Drosophila melanogaster: one gene and its partners. The protein of the gene in region 1 interacts with the protein of each later gene in a pairwise test. Each region holds a gene or a part of one and is shown on either strand. Other genes may lie near its edges. The genes, in order: CG13494, CG14234, Rdh and CG12209.

Region 1 (3,001 bases):
GTCGCCTCGGCGTCTACAGCGAAAACAGAGAAAGGACTTCATACAACCAAAAAGGACGAGAACACCCATACAAGCACAGCAGGCAGCAATGATAAGAAAAATTACGACGAATATGAACAAAAGTCCCCAAGCACCTAGGTTAGTATCCGGGTGTCCAGTGGTTGTACGGTACGCCACAGTTGTCATGTTAAAGTCTATATATTCAATATCGTATTCAGATAGGGTTGTAGCATCCAACTCGGCCATAGCTTATGGGAAATAAATTGCAAATTTTGTTGCTTTCGATAATAGATTGAACCCTCTAAATGGAAGGAAATATGTATAAGGAAAATCACATTAAATTAACGAATGCTTCTCACCGTTCCTTGCATAGCAGCTTAAGAATTTCGATGACCCTGACCCTTCAGAAATTTTATTTTGGGTATAGATTTTTTTTTAATTTTAAGAGTACAGTCGCAGCTTACTGAAGTCGATATTTTTTTGTACTTTAAATTTGATTTTTGGTTGCCATATATTAAGTTAATAGATATCATTTCAAAATTAAGCTAGATTTTTTTATTTTTTATGAATAGACAACAATTTTGCCAATGAGCATACGGATGCTCCTAACGAATCTGTACCTGAGCACATTAAATTTATAGGCTTTCGAATCGCATATCCTAGCACTACGTACATATTAATAGAAACTTGAATTATCGCCGAATTAATCATCGTCCAAGGTGCAGTCCCCACAGCCGTCGCCACAATCGCCACACCCGCCGCCATCGCCGCAACATCCACCGCCGTCATCGCCGCAACATCCACCGCCGCCGCCTTCACCACAACATCCTTCGTCGCAAGCGAGGCACGCGGAGCAGGCGAGTCCGCAACAGCCGCACAGGCAGAGGAGCGGCAGGCAGATGATGAGCAGGCAGCAGAGGAGCACCATAACAACGATCAGGACAATAATACCGACAGCCATGCTACCCGCCTTGGCGGCCTCTGTAGTGGTGGTGGTGGCGATCGTGGTGCTCCATGAGGATGTTTCCGTCATCCCGCCTTCTACCGTTGATAATGTGTCATCCATGATTAATCACTTGTTGACGGTATTGAAATGTTTAACGTTTAGCTTATTGTAAATTAGAATAAATTACAAAAATTCAGACAGCAAAGTTGAGTGTGTATTCAAAGACTCCTTCAGCACAATTTTCATATGTGCCCACTTTCAATTTAGCATCATATTTGGTTTTAAATATATTCAAGTTCCCCATCTACGAAAGACAAAAGCAAAGAAGCTTATGGGCATAGGTGCATTCGTCACGCTTCCACACGAAGCGACTTCTAACGATCAATCGCACTTAAAATCCTTTCCACAAAAGTACTCATTAAACCCACGAACACACCACCCGTCATACAATGCCCATTCGAATTGTATAATAATTAATGAAATGCATTAACGAAAGCATTTTGCGGGTGGAACTGGGATTGGGTTGGCAGAGAGGGGTGGTCCTCGAACGGGGATCTGGGGAGCTGTCCCTGAGCTCCTGTGTGTACCTGCGCTCGTTAGCGCTCCAAACACCCACTCTGCGAAACACCCCCACTTTAACTCATATGCAAAAAACACACCCTCGCCTCACGCCATCATTATCATAATTTGAATGTGATGCGAGCTTTAAAATATTCATGCGAGTAGAAAGATTTTTTTCAAGTGTGCGCACGTGTGCGCCTGGGTTCGTTATAGGGAGCTGTTTACTGTACCAAGAGGTCGTTGATTATAATGACTGTATTTTGTGCGCTGATTACTCCACAGAGAAAATTAAGAAAATGAGTCAACAACTTAATGCAAAAAACAAAAGGAAGCTCTTCGATAAACAGCGAAATGAATATATATTTTTTCAGATATCTATCTGTTTCGTGCATAATAAATATAAACTGCGTTGGACTTCAACCATAATTAAACACTGAACATTGTGTTAAGTAACTAAAGGTTGATCAAACAACTCCTGATAATATACTCACCGGGAAAGTAAAAATCCACTTCTCGTTCTGAATCACAAATCAGTGATTGCAATTGGGAACTATTAGACACGTTTGTCGGCCAATTGGCGGTGGCAGCATTGAAAGCTCATTCAATTCACTGCCTCACACTGACACCCACACTCAGACATGCATTCACCCACACCTGCAAACTCACTCACACACACACACACATACACACCTTTAACATATAGCATCATGGCACACGTGGCTGCATGTCAAAGTGCAAAGTTTTGTGCCACAAAAAACAAGCTGCGAGGGGTGGCAATGTGGGTAATGGCAGTCAAAAGCGCCGCTTGTCGATGTTTTCTGAAAAAAGAAGGAATGAAATCGTAGGGGAAAGCAGAAAAAAGTTACGTTTTTCACGGCGTTGTTGCTGGCAACCCTTTTAGCTCTGGCAATTTAAACTCGCCCGCTCCAAAGTTGCCCACTTGCCATATCCTGTCGCAGGCGTTGTCCTTGTTGTTGCTGCGGTTGGTGCCTCCGTGTAGTTGCCGCATCCCTCGAACGGCTGAGGATCCTCAGGGGGTTAAGAGCTTTTGGCTGCGGGCTGAGGGGTAACTGCGTGGCATGCAATGCGCGATTGCACAAAGTCAACTTGCACATTAGAATTCGACGAAGGATGAGTTGCAGGGCAACGCGTTGAAAGGCGGAAGGACTAGGCTCATCTGTCTGCGATTCCATCTCGGGGTAAAACTGAATACTAAACAGGCGTCTTCACTACACTAAATATATTTTCAGAAACTATTTAAATCTAAGAAATGGATTTATAGCAAGTTAAGGCTATCTTTCCACTTGAATAGATGCGAATGTAAAGAAAATCATCTTCCGGCAAATATGACTTCCTAGTCGAAAAGTCCCAAATGGTCAGATATCCGTCCCCAATGAAAATCGTACGCAGCTGAATTTATGTGTATTCCCAACCAATCATCATCATCATCAGGAACAAACGCAATGGCAATGATCATGTTCGTATCCTGCCATC
Region 2 (7,125 bases), on another chromosome or scaffold:
GCCCCAACGCCTGGGTGGAGAAGTGGGACGACCAGCGCGAGAGCGGCACATTCCCCGGCCGCATCTAAGCTGCGCCAGAGACGCAGCAACACAGTAAACCCAGCAATCCAGCACCCAAACACACAGGACACGATCGATGGACGGACGGAGGTAGAGGAGCGTGGTAACCAGAATCCGGCAATTGCAACAGAGACTAGTTTGTGTTTGTGCTTTCCCCAGCGGTGAATGCAGACCATCATCGGCAAATACAAAAAAAAAAATACACAAATGTTCAATTACTTGAATTCTGAACCGATCGTTTGTGTTTGTTTCTTCTTGATCCTTGATCCTTGATCCTTGATTCTTGGTCCTGCCGTTGCTGGCCGAACTGGCATCCGAATCAGATCGACGCCACGCCACTGTATTCCGATGTGTTATTATTAATAAACAATTAGACACAAAGAGTCCGGTGTTTCGTCATTTGATCCACTTGTTGTGAGTGGATGAGAGGTTCTGTAACTTAAAGAAGAAAAACGCACATGTGGCCTGCATCGTTTATTTAATATTACTTTTCTGTTTGCTCATTACAAGTTGTTTAATCTTTGGCAGCCCGTCGTCTCAAGACTTGATTTCATTCGGAAATCGGATTCTTTCTGGTTATAATCGCTTTTGGCCTTTTTGTTATATTAGTTTTTAATTGGATTTCATTAGTGGTGTATACATGTGTGCAACTCTTTTTATGATTTTCACTACTTTAGTTTGCAGTTATTATCCTTTTTTTTTATATATATATTTTATTAAACCGAATTGAGTGTGTCGTACAAAACGTCTACTGTTTGCCGAAGTTAAATGCATTATCGTGCTGCATTAGACATTGCTGTTGAACATTAGAACGACAGGAGGATAGAGTGAACAACTAATAGGAATCAAAGTATAAGCACTTGAGTTTGAGAACAAAATTCGGAAATATAAAGTCTATAGTCTTCGATAGTAATAAATCAACAATTGCGGACGGCAGCCATTCCTAGAAACTAATTGCTAATCAACTTAACAGGAAACTCGAGTTGTATTTAGTATAGGTGTTTGCGACTTGGAAACCAACCGATTCGACATGGAAGTTCCTGCCCGGCAATGTCCAATCCTTCTTTGCGGCTTGGAGAAAGAACCCTTCCAGTTCTAGTTCTTCCCCTAAACGCATCACTTTATCTATTTATTGGTTGTAGGTGTGTCCAGCTAAAAGGGCTTAATCCGTACTGTGGATTGAGAAATACGTCCGTACTTTGAAATGAAATGTAATGTTGCTTGGAAACAAAAGCGGATGGAAGACGACCACAAGACTTCTGAAAACCAGATGCACGGACTCATTTCGCTCTAGTAACCCGATTAAGCCCCATAATCAGACCGTTTAAAATGCTTTATATCACTTAAATTGGTATGTCTCGGCTAGCATATATAGCGTGAATTTCTGAAGTTTGTACCGCTGTTTGCATGGATCTAATGTCTTAAAGTATATATATATATATATATATATATATATTTCGAACGCTAATCTTACGGATAACGCTAAGACGGCTGATCGAGCGGATCGTTGGATTCTGACTTGGTCGAGCCCCAAGTGCGCCCCTTGCAGCGGATTGTGATTTACTGGTATCGACAATTAAGTGGCTTAGTGGCTTTGGCTCATCCGGGTAACTGGCTAATCCTAGTTCTAGTCTACTACTAGTCTAGATGGCTATGGCTCCAACTTCCCCCTCCCCCTCCCCACCCTCTCTTATTGTACTTAATAGGTATTGTATTGTATTTTCGCCTGCCTTGAGCCTCCGAGAAACTGCTGTGCGATGATCGAGTGTTTGGAGTTTACAACGTAATGCTTATATATATAAATATCATGCTAGATAGTTGAAATGGAACTCCTGCAGCTGGGATGCATCCCATTATAATCGTAGAGTTATAACACAGATATGAACCGGATTAGTAATTGCAATTGCCTGGCTATATACGAAAAAGGGAGAAGCTACGAGTACTGCGTTGGGTATAGTGTAGTTACAGGAATCTCAGGCACCCATGATCCACCACCACAATCATGCATCACGCAGCCCATCGCTACATACATATGTAGTGTAGGTATTCCTATCTGTAGTAACATTCGATTAAGTGAAGAGAACAAAAGCTTCCTGCCAGCTTCCTTCCGTGCTGTCCATCATCTTAGACTCTAGCTGTGCACGATGCGATTAATCTTAGTCTAGACTATCTCGTCCCCCTGATCTGTGGCTGGCGCCAGCTCCAAGGCTTCCATGCGAAACCAGCTAAAGATCCGTCGTATATCCTCTGATATTTAAAGCTTCCAATGACCATCCACTCGGTTCTGTGCCACCATTTCCGCTTCCGTTTGTGTTGTGTCCGGCACTTGGTGCCTCGTCTTAAAAAGTCTACATGCAACCGTACTTGTGTGAGTCCTCCGCCGCTCTACGTGGCGGCTCCCTAGAGCCCCCAATCCCGTTTAACTATCCAACCATACAGTTGTGTCCCCCGACCATGACCACATCCGCGCCCAAGTACCGCAGCCCGTAGCCCCCCTACGGGTATAGTTACATGTAGCTATTGCTTGTTTGTTATCCAATGTCACGGACGATCTCGATCTTGTCGCACAGCTCCGAGTCCGGATCGTGGATGGTGGTGAAGTGCGTGCGGTCGCTCCGGAACGTGTTTCGTTCGTTTGAGCTGCTCTTTATCGATCTCTCCGACGGCGTCTCCGTGCCGCTCAGCTGGATGCGCTTCTGCAGAGCCGACACGAAGTTCTGCAAACAAGAGATGCCCACAGGATCAGCTTGGTCTGCTACGACGCAGTAGTCACGCGCTAAGGTGCCTAGGTATGCATACATCATATACTGTTGCATACTTTTGGACACCTTTACTCGCATTTCCGGGTCCATATGAGAGCAAACCACTCACCTGCGATATGATGTCACCACGGGCCGTGCGCACCTGGTACAGATAGCGGAACTTGCGCTGCCTGGCCTCCTCGCGCGTCTCCCGGGTGCGGGATTGGGATCGCCGGACGGGAGCGATGCCGTGGTTGGGTCCCGCCTGCTGCTGGCTGTGCGGCAGATGGGCGCCGTGCGCGTGGCCAGGATGGTTGTGATGCCGCATGTACACCCGCTTGCGGTGATCCACGCGCCAGGCGGTAATGAAGCACTGCACCATGATGCTGAGCACAATGGTGACGGGCCAGGCGGCGATCAGGAGGCCACCGTAGCAAGGTGGCGGCGAGGGATGCGGCCGCATGCCGATTATCTGCAGAGAGTTATATAATTCCATCAATGCTTTCTCCACCCTCCGTATCAACTAAACAGACAGCTTCACATCGAACCAGCCAATGGTGGACATGTGGAGCAGACATGACTCACCCAATTGATGGTCTCCAGACCGTGCGTGAAGAAGTCGATGGCGCTGAGGATCATGGCCGTGCCCACAATGCTGGAGGTGAGAATGGTCACGTACTTCACGCAGCACAAGGTCAGCACGGAGCAGATGACGGCTCCACCCACCACGGCCACATAGATCTCGCGGTACTGCGGTAGGGGAATCGATATAAGCATCTGGTGCAAGCAAAACAAAGAGGGGAGGAACTTACCCCAAACTCGTTGTCCGGAAAGGTGGCCACGCAGACGGCCATGGCTGCGCCGGAGAGCAGGGCGCCGGCAAAGGCGCTAATGAGGACAGAGGCCACCGGATATGTGGAGCCGAGCACCGCGCCCAGCAAACCCGCCACAATGGCCAGCGCCGAGTCCGCCGGCTTGCCCAGGAAGGTGATCTGGAAGTCCTGCAGAATGAAGATCCCGTTGGCGCCCACCAGCAGTCCACTGAGAAAGCCCACGGCGCGCAGGCATCGGTAGCCGAGTAGCGCGTACACGATGCCAAACACGGCGAAGATGGCCCACAGGATGGCGGCCAGCGGCTCCGGCGCAGTGGGCGTGCACGTCTGCCCCTCCAGGATGCCCTGCGGGAGGAGGTCACTGGTTATCGGGGGCGTGTCACCGTAATGCGACCAAGGACACGACACACTTATCAAGCAAGGGCCGTGCGCTGACGCCACTACTCGCCCAGCACACCACCCTGCTCACTTCTGGTCACTGGCCAGAGCAGTGAGCAGTAACTCACTTCAACCTACTTCAGGTGGCTTCAAATTGGCCATTTTGCAGCCACTTAGCCAACGCATTGCACGGTGGCAGGCATAACCACTTGGCTCACATAAAAACACGGGATATATCTCCTATAACTAGTATTAAATCGGTTGGAATCAGCGGGACTGATTAACTTAAAGCCTATAAGTTCTGTAATATTTCATATTGAATATTATCCAATGAAATCGCTATAGAATTAATTAAAAGGGGAAAAGGAATCGTTATAATCCTTAAAGAACTTGACGAAAAGAACTCTCTCCTAAAAAAACCCTATTTGACTAAATTTACATTAGAATATCAATTAAGGATTATAGTTGAAGTAGTAGTAGTAGTTCATAGTAGTTCTATATCAAGCATAGTTTAGAAAGTATAAACATAGAAACATAAGCAATGAGCAACCTATAAAATAATACGAAATATGATCTAAGGATGTACACATATTGTATTTAAAGGGACTACGGATTGTTTACAGCTGGCGGAGTTTTACCCTCCCCAGATCCGATTACAAGGTGGAATAAGCCTTCGGGAGCCTGACAGGGATGCACATGAAGCTCTACATACATTCGCGTCCTCGCAGTGACAAAGCTGTTGACACACAAACCCCACTTATACACATTATACTCGACACTTTGCATATTGTAGTCTCGACTTAACCTAAAAAGCGTGCAAATATGTCGAGGGTTTGGGAAGAGGGGTTGATGGACAAGGGCGGTTGCGAGGGGCTGCTGATACGAACCTTGATGAGAAAGGGCCAGTCCAGGTGGGTGGTGCTCATGGAGTCCTCGCTGCCGTAGTCATACACCATGTCCGCCGCCACCCTCATTCCGGCGGACTAATTTTTGGCGGACCCTTCTCAACGGAATCTGCGATCTGGTGTACTCGATGCTCTTGGTCTTGTCCTTGTTGTTCTGGTTCTTGTTCTTCTACACAGCACTGGCGGATTGTCCTCTTCGTGGCGTTGTTTCGTGTTGGTTGCTCTTCACTGGCACAAAAGGACTCCGCATTCCTGCACCGTTCGCAGGGGCATGGTTGGTTACACCTATGCCTGTACACCTATACTACCACCTGGCTGGATTGACTGCGAAATAGGGCGTAGCACCTGGATGTCCTTTTGCAGCGAGTGTCAAGCGATCCTGCGGCCAATTTACTGCGGGTACATTGCAGTATTTGCACACATTTTCGCACTGCGACGTGCGATACGGATTCGTTACAATCGGGGCCAAGCCAGAATAGCTTGTGGTACAACAGGAAAACAGTGGAGCAGGCAAACAGTCAGTGTGTCCTGTGGCCACGACAGGGATGGCTACACGTCCACGTCCTCGATGGGCAAGCCTGTCCTCTCTTGCGCTCTCGTTGGTCGCACAGGCATCCAAACAACCCCCGAAGGGTTCGCGCGAAAGCTTCGAAAGCTCAGGCGCCGAAGCTCGACGCCACCACCCATCCTTCGCATCCCTGACCAGGTATACCACATTCCGCTTATACCCTTAACTGGTCCACTGCTGTCTTGATGAGCCCATTACAACCATTGCTAAGTGGGTGCCTCAGTTAGTACCAATTGCTGCAATCTTTCCACTGACCAGCATGATCAGTTGGGAATCCATTATATATATATATATATGTATATCCTTTGCATACAACATGGTTATCCCTGTAAACATGGAAGCAAAGCTTTGGGATATGGTTTGACTCCTCGGTAGCTTCGATAGCTTTGGGTGTCTGTACAAATCGCTACAGAATGCTCCACTTACATACGTGGGCCAATGTGGGCGTGGCCATAGTTTGACGCAAAGTTGATCTGCGCGGGAAAAGCGCTTTGCAACTCCTATCTGATGGATTCTATATTTGCAGCAGGAAAACCTCTTTCTCCTTAACGAATTTTCAAGTAAATATGATATTTCAAATCTAACTTTTGAGTTTCAAGCCTAGTTTTGGATTTTAATGATCCTAAATATTGATCAATATATTGACTTTTAACCTAACTGATGCAATTATTTTCTCAGATCTTCGACTTAGAAAACTTACTTTGATGCACTTTGACTTTGAGCTGAAAGTATAAAAATCTTTCAGGCTTACGAACGGACAAATATTATAATACACAGTTTTAATTATAATACTAAAATCATAAATCATAATCATGCGTATTTGGAACCTTGTAGAAATGACCATTGAAAGCGAATAGAAACTGTGCTTAGTGCAACTGCCGTCGAGGAAAACAATGTCACAATTATTTAGTGTTTCGCATTTTACTAGGACACAAACATATACATAGATGCCGACCATAGGACATATGGGGTTACAGAGTTTTGGAATGCGGTTATGCAACGTTGCTATTACACGTTAGTACACTGAGTGACAAGCAGCTCCGATTAACAATTAACAGATCTCTCGACGAACCCGATTGGATTTTATATGTGTGCATATGCATAAATAATATATGTAGGTGGCGATTCGGCCAATACACAATATAATAATAATACGTAAATTTACAACTTATTGTTGAGCTAATCTTCAACACACGCAAATCGATAGCTCCAATTGCTTTGTGCTTATCCTATGCCATCGGATGTGCGCCATGGAACGCTTATGGAGAACGGATGATGGCCTCGTAGGCGGCGAAGATTATGTTGGCCACCTCCACGGAGCGCGATTTGAGGCTGAGAGTGGCTTCCGGATTGCCCGGCTGCAGCTTTAGCTCCAGCAGCACCCAAATGTTGTTGGTCAGCTTGAGTGACTGGTAGAGCATGTCCTGGCCCTCGACGTTACGCTTGGCGATGGTGAAGATGTTGTTGGTGGTCATCTTGGAGGCGATGCCGTCGGTAGTGCCAATTACACCGCTCAGGGTGTACTGCAGTTCGTTGGCGGCGGGGATCTCCTTCCAGGTGTTGAGGAACACGCGCTTGTCCAACTGCCCATCCTCGGCGAACAGCACGTTGCCGTGCACCAGGCACGCGAAGTAGAAGAT
Region 3 (5,197 bases), on another chromosome or scaffold:
GAAGATTATTCCTGGCTTAACATTATTGGCAGCGACAATGAAAAAAAAATGTCCTTTCGTCTGCTTATCGCTCCTATTTACCCCCATGTTTTTGCTCCTCTAAGGAACGAGGTTCTAAAAGCTTTTTTATTGCCCACTCAAACGATGAATGCATTCATCATGAGGAAAGGGAGGAGACTCAGAGGCAAATAAAATAACTGGCATATCCCGTCAGGAATCAAATGCAATTTCAGGCTATAAATTGACAGATATGCAAGCGGAAAAGAGATGGGAAAAGGGCAGTAGAAAGAGACGGAAGAGCTTCAATTGATGGACACTTTTTTGGTCAATTTGCCAGTGATTTGCGAGGGTAATTGAATTGGAAAAAGTTTTTTTGTGGGATATAGAGTATATGATGATTTATGGGATAAGTTTTAAGTGGTTTAAAAGTGGTTTACTTTGCTGGAAATGTTCCAGAAAATTAAGCTAGAAAACTATATTTAACGAAAATAGACAATGTATTTCGGTTTGTTCTTACAGCTTTAAAAGGATATGCAATAGTCGAATATTTTCCCTCTTCATTAAAACTATTTGCATTCGCTTATCTGCTGGCTTTCACACAGGCAATTTGATTAAAAGTGTTTGAAACCGAGATTTAGATTGCTGTGATGAAAAATCTCTTTTAATATTTACATTCAATTAAAATTGAATTCGATTTCCAGGTATGGCATGTTTTGTTTTTCATCGACTTTGGTGAAGTTTTTGTTTTACTTTTTTTGCCCCATAACATTCCTGTTTGGCAGGACTCTCCTTCTGCAGGACTCTCTCCCCTTCCCTCTCACGCACTTATGCTCACATGTCCAAGGTCCTTTTGTGGCCTGCTAGGAAGTGAAGCCACAGAACCAAGCAGGGATATAGGGATATATAGGCAGAAAACGCAGAAAAACACAAAGGATGAGATGCCCAGTAACCAGAACAACAACTGCACTCGCTACGCAGCGCACGCACACAAACGCACCACGAAGGACAATAAAAGCAACAACAATAGCCACCAGGAGCAGCAGCAACTAGAAGGAGTAGATGAGAACACTGACAAAAATAATGCCGCAAACAATATGAAATTATTAAGAGTAATATATATTGTTTATATTGATTCTTGTTTCCACTCATTAACGGATTAAGCAATCAAAAAATTATGCGCAAAAGCTTTTAATATATTTAAGAGTTTAAAAATACTCCCAAATGTAGGCTCTAAAAGTTGGGCGCCAATTATTTAATTTTTTCTTCAAATTAATTGATAATTTCTTCGAGTGAGTGCAGAGTGGAGAGTCTCGAGCAAATGCCACCCCAATAAGCATTTTGCCTCTGGGCCATGGGACATCGGGCGAACTATATGGTAGGGAGGATATCTAGAGAGTGAGAGAGGGGGCTAGGATGTGGGAAAGGGAGGGGGAGACCCATACGCTTTAACCTGTTTTCCGCGAAGCTTTTACGCACTCGCAGCGCTCTCTTTTTGCGTGACCAAAGCGAGAGCAAAAGAGAGCGAAAGACTCGCTTGATTTTTTTTGCCACCCTTCTGGGGGAAAAGCACAAGCACGAATGAGGAGATTTTCAGCCGAGAGATTCTAGAGAGAAAACCAGAGGAAAAGAGACCTTCCGCCAGCGAATTGGCCCAGTATCCATTCGGCCGTGTTCCCATAATGTCCGCCAGCGGTCGTCGCTTCTGTCGCAGCCGTTGCCAAAGTTGTCATTGTCATCCGTACCAGCAAACGCAGCAGCAAAAGCAGCAGCAGCAGCAGCAGCAGCAACATCAGGCAGCAGCAGCAGCAGCAACTAGCAACTAGCAGCAGCAACATCTATAGGAGAAGCAGAGCCGCAGCAGCAGCAGCAGCTTAAAAATACATTTTTCACAATGAAGCAAACGGAGGCAAGAAAAAATTAGTGCCCGAGAAAATTAGTTTTTCAAGAAAAAATACAAAAATAACAAAAAGAGCGAGTGAGAGGGGCATAAAAGCCGAGAGAATGAGATGGAGAGAGAACAATGGTCGATGGGGTTTTTGCGGTTGTGGGGCTCTGTTCTTCGGTTTTCGCTTCTCAATACAAGAGTTGCTGGTGGAATATACAAAAAAGAAGGAAAACACAAATGGCACGCGCGTTGAAAAAAATAAAAATATCGGTTTTAGAGTGAAATTGCAGACACCGAGTGGTAAATGGATATGTAAAGCTGAAAAGGAAGCCCCTTTGCCGGGCAGAGTGTTTAAAAATATATAAATAAAATGAAAAGTGCAAAGAAATGTGTGCGAAAACGAGAAAAATGTTTTCGAGTCGCGAGGAATTTTCATTTGCTTAAAAGACAATTTTTTTCGGTGGCCTTTTTGGTGTATTATACATACACAGTCGCACACGTTTTTCCCACACACACACACACACTCATACGAGAGTTCGGGTCTTTTTCTCGGGTTCGTTTTTCATTTCGTATTTTTCTTTAACAGCATTTTAGTTTGTGTATTTTCGACATTCGGTGACGTTTCAACATACAAATTAGTAAGAGTTTTCCGCGCGAGAGGTGGAAAACTGCATGCTTGGAACATTTCATCGACTTGTCAACAAATTATAATCGTTATTTGGCTCTTTGGTGGAAATGGACGCCCCATTTAGCCCTCATCTTTTGCTTCTTCCTCCCTCTTTTGGGGTTTTTTTGCTGTTTCATTTTCCATTTCCCTTCCACTGCCTTTGCGAGTGCATTGCAGCCAACTTCCTGCTCGAGCTTCTAAAGTGCAGGCACGCCATGCTCTCTCTGGGTATGCACTCAAAGAAAATTGTGGTTAGAATTTACTTATAAATTAATTTGAGTAATAATAATAATATAAGAGGTTTTAAATACTTACAAATGTAGGATACAAAATACTTTAAAATCTTGGTAATAGTTTAATAACTAAAGCAGTTATATTGGGAACATTTCCTTATATTTTCCTCAGTGTACTACTTTTAAGGCTCTTCTTCCCTTTTGGGTTCTCCCACGCACGCGCTTTGGAGCTTATTCTCCGAAGACTAGACGACCGCAACACATTTCCTAGTACTCGTCACTACGGGGAAGCTTTTTGTTTGTCGCTTTGAGCGGCTGGAGGTCCAAAGGACACACCGATAGGCGAAGAAAGAGAGGGCGTGTGTAGTGAGTGAGTGAGCAGCTGTAAACAGCAAAACAGCAGGAAGGCCAAGTCGTAATACCACGCCACATGCAACCCATAATTCCACACCCCCTTCTCCGGATTCTGAATCAGACTCCTCACCCGAATGCAATTTTGCGACTCTTGTCCCAAATTTGGTTGGCGAACTTTGTCGTTGGCTTTGCCTTCGCCTCGTTTCCATCGAAAGCCGTTAGAATTGGCAAGGAAAAGCGGTGGAAAAACGAAGACGAAGACGTCGTCACCTTCGTTTTGGTCGTGTGCCACACGTCGTATGCGTGTTTCTTTTTAAGGCGGCTACGTCATCTGTCACCTGCCCACTTTTTCGCTTTTCTCTCGTGCGATTCTCCAAATCTCGTTTCTCGCTTCTTGCTTCCACTCGCTTTTCGCATTTTTCGCGGGTATTTCCCAGAATAAAAGATTCACTGCGACTGTCATGGCATTTCGCATTTGGCCAGGTGTTTTTGGCCCAAAACCTTCATTCATCTATTCTATTCTATTCTTTTTGCATTTATATTGCATTTTATATGAGTATTGGTAGAAAACAAACGAAAGGAAAATGATTCTTTGTCATAATTTTTAAAGGCTTAAACGCTTTGGGAAAATCGAAGCAAAGTCTTTTTAAAATTTCATCATACTTATCGTAACTAATTCATTTTTAAATATTCCTACACAGATTTCTGATTACTTTCTATATTCAACAGAGAATGCAAAAATCCTTTAGCTATTGTACAACTTTTTGGGAACTTTCCGTTGCCCTTAACTTCACACAGCAATTTTTAATTATATAAACGCAAAGAATAGTAGCCCCCTTATTCAAGATTTCATTACTTGCCGATGCAAACACCGACTTGCCTCAGTTATTTATGCAAAGTCCATTCAACTCGGACAGATAAACATCAAAATTTGAAACAATTTTTGGGAGTTCAGCTCAACCCCTCTAGTAGGCACAAAAAGTGAACGAAATTGGCTACCTACTCCATAAATTGTGACAATCAAAAACTCAAGATAATTACGTTGAAAGGGAACCAGTCGCTTGTTACGGGTGTGTGTGCGAGTGGTGTCGTCCTTATAAGGATATTCGCCAGGAGCTGAGGTGCCCTGAAGATACAGAGAGCAGGCGAATATCCACCCTTCTAATCGTGCCGAGGGCAATATTCGCATCATGAAATTTTCTCGGCTTTCGGTTCGTGCAGTTTGAATATCAAAATAAATCGTAAACAAGGTCATATTGTCTACGAGTGTGTGATACACGGATACACAGTTTTGCCAAAGGGATTCATTCTCTCGGCTTCCGACTCTCTCTCTCTCTCTCTCTCGCGTGCGCGTTTTTCTCTTTTGGGGAAAAGCCTTCGATTAAACTTCCTCCAACTTTGCAGATGGTAAAATGTGTGCCACAGGAAACAACAGGATGTCAGAGAAATCCTCAAAGAATCCAAACTATATAGACAACCAGATGGAAATATCTCAATAAACATAAACAAACAAAGAAACAAGTAACAAAACCGAGGAAAAGGAAAAATCAGCGAGAGAAATAATCACAAACAAACCGAAAGAAAGAAAGCTTTAACTAAAATATTTTTAACTATACAATATACATACATATATAAATTAATTATAGAAATAGCAACCTAAGTGTTTAGTGCGTAAACGAATTAAATTTTAAACAAAATAATTGGGAAAATCGAGCAAGTGTACAGACCAAAAAGTGTGGGCAGCTTCTGATTTTCGGTGATATGGTGTAAATGTGATAAACAACGTTCTAAAGAAAACAACAAACAAACAACCAAATCGTTTTAAAACTCAATTACCACAATAACAAAACAAAATACCTTAAACTAGTGTTTTATTTTTCCTCCCTTCGCAAAGTTTTTTGCCACGAAAATCCAATACAATAACTATTTATCTACAAAAAATACTAAGCCTTGCATCTTATAAACAAACTTAACTAATTGTAAACTATTCTAAGTCGCACAAAACCAATGCAAATCGAGTGAAAACAACAGCGTCAGAGATTTTTGGTTCAACCTTTT
Region 4 (3,946 bases), about 12 Mb from region 1:
CATTATATACAATTATATATACGTGTATATCATCCAATTGAAAATACATCATGCCACCTACACTTTAACCGGACCCATCAAGTCCACCGAAGTTTTATGGAAACGTTTCGCGGACAGAGCCATTTATTTACATTCAGCGTTTTTGCTTAAGATGCGCGTGCCATGGAAACAGTTATCGATTTTCCGGCAAACCGAATCGAAACAAGACGACAGCAGTCGCGGGCACCCAGACAAACTTGCCCCATCGACATCGAGGCACTGACCAATTGCCGCAGGAACTGAATCGTCTCGCATAAACATTCTGTCCCAGCTGTTCCGATAGTCCACGCATGCGTTCCACTCATTCGATGTTCTTCCGATAGAACAGGTACACGAATATATCATGAATGTCCGCGCGCCATCCCATCAATTCTATAAACGAGGCTGTCGTCCACACATAGCCCATATATAGGGCAAAAAAGTTGAGGTAGTACAGCTGGCCGATCAGTATGTAGTCCCCGGTCGACTCCTGGCGGTAGAAGTTCGGCTTTCGCATGGAAGCGCCAAAGACTATGACAAACTGTGGGCAAAATTGGAGGAATACTGTGTCGTTATTTTAAAAATGGGAAAGTAGGTGTATCGTTTCGTTTCCCTGAGGCTTACCACGCTCGAGAGAATGGTGTATACTAGCAGGGTTGGAAACTCTATGATAACACGCTTCATCTCGGCACACACGATGATGCCAAAGCAGGTGAGGACAAATATGCGCTCGCTCCACAGGATAACCTTATGCCGGGTAGTCTGTGGTAAAGGAGGTAAGTGTCGGCGGGTCAACAAGTTCTTCACTTACGAAAAGGCCTTTCTTGTGTTTGATGGCACTATTTCCGTATATCACACTGATGATCATCATAAGGAATGTTAGGAAGATTGACAGGATGAGGCTTATATAAGGGGCACGTTTGGCGGGCTTCATGATCGACATGGTGTTCACCTCGTACTGCAGATCAAAAGAGGTCATTCGAAATGGACACCATCAGTTGAGATCATTCATGTACTTACCGTCCAGAGGCCCGCCAATAACCGCACCCACATAGGCTTTTTAACGATTATGTGGTAGAAAAATCCGTAGAGCTGGATGGATAGGAAGCTGACGACAAATTGCACGAGACTGAGGTAGTAGCGATCTGCGAGAAATTCCTTCAGGGGAGTGCTGAAAAAGAGGAGCAATTGAAAGGTCTGTCAAAAGCCGCAGGGCAAGAGCATGGATCACTACTCACATCTCCATCGCCACCGAGACCTGAATCTGTCCGATGACGAGCATAATTATGGTTACTCTGTACGTGGGTCCCACCCAACTCTTTTGGCGCGGTGGGGGGTTTTCGCGCAACATATGTACAGACGCTCTAGTTCTGAAACTGTATTTGGAGTGGCTTGTTTCGATTCACATCTAAATTTATGAGAAAAACATCAAACTATCAGAAAAATAAATGCCAACTGTTCTGTCCGCCAGCGGGATCGCGGTAGGTTGGATTGGTCCGTTAATCGTTACCTTCCGGTTGGTTTTGAGGTGTGAAAACTCATTTGCGGCACGTAAATGACCAGCAAAGTACGGCCATACAAAAATTTTGCGAATTCTGTATGTTGTGTAACTGCCTAACTCCCATTTTACATTTTGCAATGAATGATTTTATATTCATTGAAAGTATTCCTACAAAACCCTAGATATCTATGATAAAACATACATTTTTTGAACTAGTTTTTGAAATCAAGTCACTATAATCATTGAAAAAGGTGAGCATATAGGTGACCATAGAATTGCGTGCTTGCTTTTAAAATGTAAAACTGAAAATAATTGAATCGTATGCTCGTATTTTCACTATACATGCTTCTTTCTTCTGAGTGCGCAGAGTATATTTAGTGAACTAATAGAGTTTACTAATAGAATTAAATATCTTGGTGTAGTGGGTATCTTTCATCGCAGTGGTTGCTGGCCACCCAGCTTCACATATCAGAGTGGCCTGGACTTCTCCATTAGGTTTGAAATTAGTTATCGTTTGTTACTGAATTCCATACTCCAACACGATACCCGGGCCACGCCCACACCGCCATGGAGGACCGCCGCCAGAGAATGCGGGCATATCGGCGGGCCCGCCGAAAGTTTGCCTGCGTCGTCTACATGGTGACCATAGCCTGGATGGTCCTGGCTATCTTGCAATGGCTCCTGGTCAGCCTGATGTGAGTTGGGCAGCTGAGTTTGGGGTTCTTTACCGCTGTAACCGCTGTTCTTTCAGATCGGACATAAGTATGACCTTCACAAACTTTTACTGGATTAGCGTGATCTTCTTCGCGCTGGCCATGGTGATGGTCACGGTGTTCATATTCTTCGAGAAGGTCCGATTCATCATTGGCCTCAACTGGCTGATCACCGTGCTTATAGTGAGTATCCTGCGAACACATTCCGCATGATCTTTCACCTTGAATTCCTTGGCTAGGTGGAGTTTATAATAATTGGTATGTTCGCTCTGGTGGCAAGAACTCTCTGGCAGGACTTGATAATGTGGTTTATCATCTGTGTGCTGTTTGTCTTCATGTTTGTGCTGCTGGGATCCATTATACCAGTAAGGGTGTTTGCATATTTGCAATATTTTTGCTTGAATTTGTATTCCCAGCACGATCTTACATTGGACGTTGTAATATTGTTTGTAATGGCATTTATTTTCCTGATCATCACCGTATTCTTTGTCATGATGCACATTCTGATCGATATGCCGTACTCCTTTGTGGTATTCCAGATCTTCATAAGCCTTATTGTGCTCTTGGTAAAAATTGAACGTTTTACTTATCGAGCCATTAGTATGATAATATATAATTTCCTTAGTTCGTGATGTACCATGCCCAGACGATCAATGGTGGACGCTTTGCCGAGATGCGGCTGAACGATCACCTGTTGGCCTCGCTCATCCTCTTCCACGACTTCATCATCATCTTCCTGCTCACCTTCTATGCACAGATTATCTACCGGTTCGCTTCGAATGCCGCGAAAACCACGGGATCTCCGTTAGAGGGCAGTTGGGTTCAGACGACACCGATTAATGGGGATGACGTCGTGGAAGACAATGACGAGGACAGCGAGGATGGACCGTCGGCAGTGGGCAGTGAGAATTCCCCAGGTGGAAATGCATCATAACCCTCCAAAGGGGGCAATGTATTCATCTAGAGGCGAAGAGACTACTTTTCTCCAGGAGTAATGATCGAGGGCATCAAATTGCAGGATGGCTTGGTACTTAGTCGACTTGTAATTAGTGCCAATTAATACCCAAAGGTATTAAGGAGACATATTTGGTATCCTGAAAACGCGAAAAATGCTGTGACTTATACAACAAAGAATCCAAAAATGGGCTTAGAATAGCATATTTTGTCCATAATAAAACAGATATATTACTTGTGTTGTAACTAGAACTTTGAAACTTTAATCACACTGAAATTGATTAGACATGGAGATACATATGTAAGCCGGTAAGTTTTTGAGTTTTGAGTCTTGACCGATTGTTAGCTTAAAATAGGAAATTTATAGTATTATGGTATGGGCATGCATATTTTGTAGAGTAACGTACGGCACAACATTGATTGGAATTACGATTGATTGCATTATTGATTGATTGCACAGCAGCGTTCGATGATTTACCCCTCTTTCCCAATCACACATACATATATACAATGAACTGAGGTGTCAAATAATATTGAATAATAACGTAAGTCATGGGATCCAAATAAAATGTGTAACTTCAGATTGAGTAAGCTAAACAAATAAGATGTATAGTTGGATCATTACCAACTACTTCTTGGTTTAAACAAAGAGAAAAAGATTCTATAATTAGGTACTTTTTCTGTCCTTAGATTCATTGTATAGTAAAACTTAATATGGAATTTTTAAGGCTATCACTAAAGCGACTCCATCGATGAGGTT

What was found.
Region 2: the proteins of CG13494 (region 1) and CG14234 interact in a two-hybrid assay, tested with the Drosophila melanogaster proteins (one large-scale study listed by BioGRID).
Region 3: the proteins of CG13494 (region 1) and Rdh interact in a two-hybrid assay, tested with the Drosophila melanogaster proteins (one large-scale study listed by BioGRID).
Region 4: the proteins of CG13494 (region 1) and CG12209 interact in a two-hybrid assay, tested with the Drosophila melanogaster proteins (one large-scale study listed by BioGRID).

The regions. Positions count from the first base shown.
Region 1 is NT_033778.4:21,953,707-21,956,707, forward strand, and holds CG13494 (uncharacterized protein), read right to left. Parts: upstream 1,140-3,001; 5' UTR 1,067-1,139; coding exon 704-1,066; 3' UTR 536-703; downstream 1-535. Other genes in the region: CG43405 (uncharacterized protein), read right to left, coding at 1-246.
Region 2 is NC_004354.4:19,733,850-19,740,974, reverse strand, and holds CG14234 (uncharacterized protein), read right to left. Parts: upstream 5,406-7,125; 5' UTR 4,987-5,405; coding exon 4,900-4,986; intron 3,980-4,899; coding exon 3,614-3,979; intron 3,552-3,613; coding exon 3,387-3,551; intron 3,274-3,386; coding exon 2,932-3,273; intron 2,778-2,931; coding exon 2,592-2,777; coding exon of another isoform or gene 2,556-2,591; 3' UTR 519-2,555; downstream 1-518. Other genes in the region: COX6B (cytochrome c oxidase subunit 6B), read left to right, coding at 1-68; AP-1-2beta (adaptor protein complex 1/2, beta subunit), read right to left, coding at 6,745-7,125.
Region 3 is NT_037436.4:3,823,845-3,829,041, forward strand, and holds Rdh (Red herring), read left to right. Parts: upstream 1-1,604; 5' UTR 1,605-1,679; coding exon 1,680-1,823; 3' UTR 1,824-1,906; intron 1,907-4,543; 3' UTR 4,544-4,681; downstream 4,682-5,197.
Region 4 is NT_033778.4:10,245,555-10,249,500, reverse strand, and holds CG12209 (uncharacterized protein), read left to right. Parts: upstream 1-1,940; 5' UTR 1,941-2,086; coding exon 2,087-2,214; intron 2,215-2,270; coding exon 2,271-2,415; intron 2,416-2,471; coding exon 2,472-2,597; intron 2,598-2,648; coding exon 2,649-2,798; intron 2,799-2,857; coding exon 2,858-3,166; 3' UTR 3,167-3,430; downstream 3,431-3,946. Other genes in the region: CG12914 (uncharacterized protein), read right to left, coding at 341-559, 643-780, 830-976, 1,039-1,189, 1,257-1,369; Hdc (histidine decarboxylase), read right to left, coding at 3,922-3,946.